Linked DNA regions of Arabidopsis thaliana. The protein of the gene in region 1 interacts with the protein of each later gene in a biochemical or structural test. Each region holds a gene or a part of one and is shown on either strand. Other genes may lie near its edges.

What was found.
Region 2: the proteins of BZO2H1 (region 1) and BZIP53 form a complex in vitro, tested with the Arabidopsis thaliana proteins (one study listed by BioGRID).

What each region holds. Positions count from the first base shown.
Region 1 is NC_003075.7:1,152,323-1,157,053, forward strand, and holds BZO2H1 (bZIP transcription factor family protein), read left to right. Parts: upstream 1-1,631; 5' UTR 1,632-1,708; coding exon 1,709-2,119; intron 2,120-2,207; coding exon 2,208-2,289; intron 2,290-2,635; coding exon 2,636-2,822; intron 2,823-2,903; coding exon 2,904-2,979; intron 2,980-3,055; coding exon 3,056-3,181; intron 3,182-3,270; coding exon 3,271-3,620; coding exon of another isoform or gene 3,621-3,624; exon of another isoform or gene 3,625-3,741; coding exon 3,742-3,763; 3' UTR 3,764-4,034; downstream 4,035-4,731. Other genes in the region: AT4G02630 (Protein kinase superfamily protein), read left to right, coding at 1-839; AT4G02650 (ENTH/ANTH/VHS superfamily protein), read left to right, coding at 4,217-4,731. UniProt on the Arabidopsis thaliana protein: Transcription factor that binds to the C-box-like motif (5'-TGCTGACGTCA-3') and G-box-like motif (5'-CCACGTGGCC-3'), ABRE elements, of gene promoters. Binds to the 5'-ACGT-3' motif of seed storage protein (SSP) encoding gene promoters (e.g.
Region 2 is NC_003074.8:23,091,026-23,094,800, reverse strand, and holds BZIP53 (basic region/leucine zipper motif 53), read left to right. Parts: upstream 1-1,950; 5' UTR 1,951-2,516; coding exon 2,517-2,957; 3' UTR 2,958-3,215; downstream 3,216-3,775. Other genes in the region: AT3G62430 (Protein with RNI-like/FBD-like domain), read left to right, coding at 1-381, 490-630, 719-1,006; CP12-2 (CP12 domain-containing protein 2), read right to left, coding at 3,400-3,775.

The DNA.
Region 1 (4,731 bases):
GACACAAGAATCTGGTGAGATTGCTTGGTTATTGCGTTGAAGGAGCTCATAGGATGTTAGTTTACGAGTATGTTGATAATGGGAATTTAGAACAATGGATTCATGGTGGTGGTTTGGGGTTTAAGAGTCCTCTTACTTGGGAGATTAGGATGAACATTGTTCTTGGAACAGCCAAAGGGTTAATGTATTTACACGAAGGTCTTGAGCCTAAAGTTGTTCACCGAGATATTAAATCGAGTAATATCTTGCTTGACAAGCAATGGAACTCGAAAGTTTCTGACTTTGGGTTAGCTAAGCTCTTGGGTTCGGAGATGAGCTATGTGACTACTCGTGTGATGGGTACGTTTGGGTATGTGGCTCCTGAATACGCGAGTACCGGAATGTTGAATGAGAGGAGCGATGTTTATAGCTTCGGTGTTCTTGTTATGGAGATTATTTCAGGGAGAAGTCCTGTGGATTATAGCCGGGCTCCGGGAGAAGTGAATCTTGTGGAATGGTTGAAGAGATTGGTGACGAATCGAGATGCGGAAGGAGTTTTGGATCCGAGGATGGTTGATAAACCGTCGTTAAGGTCATTGAAGCGTACCCTTTTGGTAGCTTTAAGATGTGTTGATCCTAATGCTCAAAAGAGGCCAAAAATGGGTCATATCATTCATATGCTTGAAGCTGAGGACTTGGTCTCTAAAGATGATCGGAGAAACTCTGGAGGAGGAGGAGGAGGAATAGAACAGGGAAGGTCACCGCGGAGGAAGACAAATGTGAATGAATCAGAGGATGAGAGTGGTAATTCTGTTCTGATCAACAATGACCAATTAGCTTTGGAGAATAAGCAGAACTAGTAAAAAAGAAAGAAGCTTTGGCATTATAATTTTGTATTACTATTTTTAGAAGTTTTTTCTTGTGTGTGTATATTTATGTGTGTAGATTCTTAGCCCTTTCACAAAAAAAAAAAAAATGTGTGTAGATTCTTGTAATTTTGCAATAATTAAAACTGGGGATTGCTTGAAAAATATATATATGGTTTGTTTTTTTGTATTCTTTTGGTTCGTTCTCTATTGTAATATAGCCTACATAGTGGTGATTTGTGGTATTGGTGACACTATGTTAAGGTCAAAAAGAAATAGAGAGTAAATTCCATATATATGAAAATTGAAAATGACTGTTTAAATTTACATATGGCGCGAAAAAATGATCTAGTTCGTTAATTATTTTTAGAAGCTTTTTGTGGTAAATTTAGATTTTTAAAAAACTCCATATATTTTTTTTTTATAATTTAGGCTTGTCTATTGTAAATTTGTAATATAGCTTAGTGATTTATTTGTTTAGCTTCTGGTGACATTTTATAAATTTTTAATGACCAGTATAATATAGTATTTTTTTATAAATTAAAATATAATCTAATGTTTTATGTCAACTTCGTTGTTCATTGAATAAATCAAACTTTGAAGAATAATTAAATAACAATGTTTGCAAAAACTGTTACGTTTTTTCATGTAAACATTAGTGGACGTTATACAATAGATATTTAAATTATAAAAACTATTCAAAGAATATTGTAAAGAAATAAAACAGAAATGTGTAAGAAAAAATGTTTATTTTATTGTACGTAATAAAAAAAGAGAATATACTTGTGTGGGTGGACCTAAATGCAAATAGGCAAAGTACCGACAAAAAAAGAAGAATCAGAAAGTGAAAAAGAGAGCGAGCGATGAACAGTATCTTCTCCATTGACGATTTCTCCGATCCTTTCTGGGAAACTCCTCCGATTCCTCTCAATCCCGACTCTTCTAAGCCTGTTACGGCGGATGAAGTTAGCCAGAGTCAACCGGAATGGACTTTCGAGATGTTTCTCGAAGAGATTTCTTCGTCGGCGGTGAGCTCTGAGCCACTTGGTAACAACAACAACGCGATCGTCGGTGTTTCTTCGGCGCAATCTCTTCCTTCTGTTTCCGGACAGAATGATTTCGAGGATGATAGTCGATTTCGTGATCGCGATTCGGGAAATTTGGATTGTGCTGCTCCCATGACGACGAAGACGGTGATTGTTGATTCCGATGATTATCGTCGTGTTCTTAAGAACAAGCTTGAGACTGAGTGCGCTACTGTTGTTTCTCTTCGGGTGTGTTGTTAATCTTCTATTTTTCTTATCTATATGTGTAATTTGTGCGTTTTGATCTAAATCTGAAGCTCTGATGTTCTCTTCTTAGGTTGGGTCTGTGAAGCCTGAAGATTCGACTAGTTCTCCAGAAACTCAACTTCAACCAGTTCAATCCAGTCCTCTTACTCAAGGTAAGAGTCTCTTCTTAGTTTCACCAGGATAGATGAGCGATGATAAACCTGCAGATTCGTTTCTCTGTTCTGTGTTTGTTAATTTAGATGCCTAGGTTAAGGAATTAGAAATAGAAAATGGTACTTTTGTTGGATCAAGCGCCTAGTTTTATCCGTCAAGTTTCAATCTTTTTGTGACTGACTTTCTCATTGAAATTAAACTGCTTTCTGGAAGAACAATAAGCTTGGGATTGAGATGAGTTCTGGTGGTTAGTTCAATATATGGGAAATCATTATTTCAGCGCTCGTCTTTCTCTTTCAGATATCTCTTCTGAGTCTTAGACATAGTAAGTTTTAATCGTGGTAGGTTCTTTGATGACCCCAGGAGAACTTGGTGTTACTTCTTCCTTACCAGCTGAGGTGAAAAAAACTGGTGTATCAATGAAGCAGGTTACTAGTGGATCGTCGAGAGAATATTCTGATGACGAGGACCTTGATGAAGAGAATGAAACCACCGGTTCCTTGAAGCCAGAGGACGTTAAAAAATCTAGAAGGTAATCATTACTTTTTCTCCAATTTCTTGTCGTTTGAAGATTACATTTATAGAGCCTTGTTCTTCCTTTTAATATTTGTAGGATGCTGTCAAATCGTGAGTCAGCTAGGCGATCTAGAAGGAGAAAGCAGGAGCAAACAAGTGACCTCGAAACACAGGTTTTGTGTTGTATCCTCTCAACACCTCATTTTTGTGTTGAAGGATATTAATGAGACCTAATTTGTATTTTGATAGGTTAATGATCTAAAAGGTGAGCATTCATCACTTCTTAAACAACTGAGCAACATGAATCACAAGTATGACGAGGCTGCTGTTGGCAATAGAATACTAAAGGCTGACATTGAGACATTAAGAGCTAAGGTAAGAAGACTTAAGTATTATCCTCCTCTCCTTTTTCTGAACTACCCTTTTTTTGTATACAGTTTTAGTAACTCCCATGTTATGTTAAGGTGAAAATGGCGGAAGAAACCGTGAAGAGAGTAACAGGAATGAATCCGATGCTTCTCGGAAGATCAAGTGGACATAACAACAACAACAGAATGCCAATAACTGGTAACAACAGGATGGATTCTTCTAGCATTATTCCAGCTTATCAACCACACTCAAACCTAAACCATATGTCAAACCAAAACATCGGGATCCCAACCATTCTACCTCCAAGACTCGGAAACAATTTCGCTGCTCCTCCATCCCAAACCAGCTCTCCCTTGCAGAGAATTAGAAATGGGCAAAATCACCATGTTACTCCAAGCGCCAACCCGTATGGCTGGAATACCGAACCTCAGAACGATTCAGCATGGTAAGCTAAAACATGGCTCTTTCTTTTAAGACCATTGAACAATTTAAAACCATTTGAAGTACTATGATCCCTGTTTATACATATCAGATTCCTGTCTCCCCTTTTTTTGCTCATTTTACAGGCCGAAAAAATGCGTGGACTGATCAAACAAGAAGCGGGTTTCGCACTATATTAATGTCTATGCATCTGTAATTTGTAAGTGTTATTAAGTTACGAATCATGAGAAAACATCTTGTGAAAATACAGTCTCATGGCTTATATATATATATAAGCTCTGTCTTATAACATTACAAGATTCTTATTTGAGAATCGTCTTTCTATTTATAGCTAATAACAGAGTGTATATCTGTTTTTATCCAATTTTAAAAAAGATAGCTCACATGGCTTTACTAATTTCCCCTATCATTAAATTCCGACAACCTCGGCGATTTCCATGGTAGATCGATCAAGCATTCACATTTTCTCGTCAGAAAACACAAAAAAAAAAAACAGAGGAGAAAAAGAGACGACGACAAACAAGTGAAAGAAAAAAGTCGTCGTTCTTCCAATTTTTTTCTCCTCTCTCTTCCTCTGTTTAACGGCGTACGTAAGTCAAAATGGGTTCAAGTAAGCTAAAACGTGCCATAGGAGCCGTGAAAGATCAAACAAGCGTAGGATTAGCCAAAGTCGGTGGTCGAAGCAGTTCTTTAACGGAACTCGAAATAGCTGTCGTGAAAGCGACGCGACATGATGACTATCCAGCGGAGGACAAGTACATTAGAGAGATTTTATGCCTAACTTCTTACTCACGCAATTACGTAAGCGCTTGTGTGGCAACTCTCTCGCGACGGCTCAACAAGACCAAGAACTGGTCGGTTGCTCTCAAAACCTTGATTTTGATCCAACGGTTGCTAACAGATGGAGATAGAGCCTACGAGCAAGAGATCTTCTTCGCGACGAGACGAGGAACGAGATTGCTTAACATGTCTGATTTCAGAGATGCGAGTCAGTCTGATTCGTGGGATTACTCTGCTTTTGTTCGGACTTATGCTTTGTATTTGGATGAACGTCTTGATTACCGGATGCAAGGAAGACGAGGGAAAAAAAAAAGTGGTGGTGGTGGTGGCGGTGA
Region 2 (3,775 bases), on another chromosome or scaffold:
GCTGGTTGTTCGTTTACAAAGCTTATTTCTGCTTGCCCTGTGCTCGAGGAGTTAGTCATAGATGGCCACAACTGTGAAGATTGGAAATGGTCTCGCAGAGTATCTAGTCAGATCCTTAAGCGACTTACTATTCGGCGTAAAGAATGGGTTCATGATGGCTCTAGTTTTGAGCCTATCAGTTTGGATATTCCTAGTCTTGAATACTTTAAATACTTTGATACTCTCCGAGATAGCTATCCAGTTGTTAAGCTCAACTCCCTTGTGGAAGCTAAGCTAGAACTTCCTTCTCTTTATATTGGGGATACCTACAATGTTAGGAATCTGATCAAGGGGTTGAAAAATGTTCAGATTCTGCGCTTAGGAGCTGTTGACACGATGCACGTAAGTGCTCTCCACTGAGATATTAAAATAAAAAATCTTTCTATACATTAGAATGTTTATTGAAGTTATGACTGACTAGTTTTTTTTTTTTTTTCAATTCTGTTCCAGCTGTTTTGGGTCTTCAGGGAAGCAGTCCCAGTGTTTGAGAACCTGTTTCATTTATCAGTTAGTACTCATGACGCTATCTGTTGGGATGATCTGCGTATTCTTCTTGAAAAATCTCCAAATCTAAAGACTCTCACCATTGAGGTGACCAAAAACCCCAAAAGTTCATTGGACAAACAAAAGAATTGAAACTCACAAAATCTTCAATCTCAAAATTCCGGTCTTTTTGCAGGCTTTGCATTATCATGGCTATGGGGATGAAAACTCTGTTTGCGAATGCTTGGATGGGTATTCTTTCCTTTTGTCCTGCCCTATTGAGATCCTAAAGATAACTGAGTTCGGTGGAGAGATTGAAGAAATGGAGCAAGTAGAGTATGTCTTGGAGAATTTGCTGTGTCTGGTGCTGTTGGAAATTCATGTTAAGACAAAGAAGATTGACAGAAAGCTGCAGATCTTGGCGGATCTCCTAATGCTTCCGAGAGCTTCATCCAAATGCAAAGTCCAGGTCAAGTTTGTTTGAACAAACAAGTGTTTGTTGCCTCAACATGAGAACTGTTGGAGAAATGGTGCAAATAAAGCACATGTTAGAGAAATTGCCAAGTCTTGAGCTTTTGGAAGTTCAGCTTAAGCCAATAATAAGAGCTGACACAAAGATTCAGATCATGTTGGATCTCCTAATGCTACCGAGAAATTCATCTAAATGCAAACTTCGTATCAAGCCCTCTTGAACAAAATCTTAACATATCCCATTTATTGACATGAGAGAACTGAGTTTGTTTTTGTATCACACTCTTAAATCTTTGCATAAGCTCAGAATCTAGTTTGTGAAGATTGTGAGAGAAGTAATCTTAAAAAGATCAAACTTTTGTTGACATAAGCTTGGCGTTTTTCTTATCTCTAACTGGATTTTTCGAGTGTGTAAGGGAGAGCTAAGCCCATCAGCTGAATTAAGGCTATTATAAAGCCCACGAGCCAACTTCCCAACTCAGTCTTGTGTTTTGTAATTTAAAATCGTGTCAATAAAATGATGTAATCGTCACGTCATCATTTAAGTTTTAACCAAAGAGAGCCGCATATAAACAACAATCTGGTAGACTTTCGTTATAGTTAATGGTCGTTTTATAATTACGCTTATGAATTGTGTGTTAGACGTTGCTTTCGTGAGGAAATTTTCAAATTCAGAAATATATAATATTCAGTTAATTAACACTTGGCAATAATATTTGATATTTTCTGAGGAGGCATCTTGGTGGAATATTCCATCCGTGAACAGACGGAGAAACTTCCCTCAACAAAACGTGCTTCCCTTATAAAATTCCAGCTGGCGGCGTCACAGCTGGCGTCAGTTTCCCCCAGTTGCGTTTTAAAAAAAAACAAAATAAAAAGATTTATGACCAAAAGTTAATTATCTTCCTTTATTAAAATATTGTAAAAATAAAGAAAAAGGCTTAGGACAGCTCATCACCATCTTCTCCTTTAAAAGGATAAGCTTGGTGTTACTTTATCGCCTTCTTTCGTTTGGCCTTTGATCCTATCATAAGCTTTTTTTCGTTTATCAATCTTCTCGATTCAGCCACAATTCTTGTTTCTCAGATAATTCATCTCCTTTCTTTGATTCGTTTCCTTCTCTTCTGTCACTCAGATCTAGATCTAGATCTAGGTTTTTTTCTTTCTCATCGGAAATTTGGCTTAGAGGCTTGTTTTGATCTAGGGTTTGGTTTTTGGGAATTTTGAAAAAAAAACAAAATTAGGAATGAATCTATGAGCTACTCAATCCTGTTTCGTCGGATTCGAATTCTACACTCTTTCTCCGTCGTTTACCTCTACTACACCTACGTTTTCTCATGAAGTAATCGTTCTCGATCTCAGTTTTCGTTTTTGATCTAACTTATTCTTTGATAGATTTAGAAATCGGGGATTTTCAGATTGTGTTTTTGAGAGGTTTTTATAGGAAAATATCTCTAGAAGAAGAAGAATAATATTATATTGATTTTAATTTTGGTGAGAAGAAGTCAAAAAGTCAACGAGAAATGGGGTCGTTGCAAATGCAAACAAGTCCTGAATCCGATAATGATCCGAGGTACGCCACGGTGACGGATGAGAGGAAGAGGAAGAGAATGATCTCTAACAGAGAATCTGCTCGGAGGTCAAGGATGAGGAAACAGAAGCAACTTGGTGATTTGATCAACGAAGTCACTCTTCTCAAGAATGATAACGCTAAAATCACTGAGCAGGTTGATGAAGCTTCAAAGAAATACATTGAAATGGAGTCTAAGAACAATGTCTTGAGGGCACAGGCTTCGGAGTTGACGGATAGGTTGAGATCATTGAACTCTGTGCTTGAGATGGTTGAAGAAATTAGTGGTCAGGCTTTGGATATTCCTGAGATTCCTGAATCTATGCAGAACCCTTGGCAGATGCCTTGTCCAATGCAACCAATCAGAGCTTCTGCTGATATGTTTGATTGCTGAAGATGGATGATTCATATCTGAAGGATCAAAAATGAAGCATTGAGTTCGAGTCTTTGGTCTGTTTTACTTACTGTCCTTGTTGTAACAATTAGTGTGTCATTGGTGAATTGAGTCTTGTGTTGTCAATGGACAACGCAATCTTTATGCAATTTCAATTTGTTCGTGTCTTTGTATGGTTTTGTAGCCTCAGTCCTCTAGTCTTGTGTCTCATGTAATTGGTGTCTAATGTGTTTCTTATTGAATTCAAGCTTTCTTATTATTCGCTGCGCATTACCTGTTATGAAATTTTGGCTTTTGTATTCGTTTATGGAACTACAAATTACAAATGTTTTTAGAGCTAATTCAGATTCAAAGACATGATTTATATAACCTGACATTACCAAATGGACCGGAACAAAGATTTGTCGTATACGTATGAATCCGGAACAGGATCTTGATCGCTTCAGTTGTCGTAAGTACGGCACTCGTTGGTCTCAGGATTGTCTTTGCAGTATTCCTCCAAAGGGTCCGAACCATCAGCCTTCTTCTTGTCTCTAGCATGGCTAGCTGCTGCGCTAAGTTCTTCAACCTCGTCCCACGCAGCTACACACTCTCCACTCACAGGATCGCCCGCACAAGTCTCCTGAGCTTCCTTAATGCTTTTCTCCACTACGTCCGATATCCCTCCTTCCGGTGCTGCTTTAATCGGCTGAAGTTTCATCATCCGGTTAGTTGTTCTTGACCCAAGATTCCACGAATTGTTCAAATGGACCGGACCGGCGAGACAAACTGGCCGATTCTCGCTGGTGACGAAGACACGCTGGGTTGCAATGTTAAGA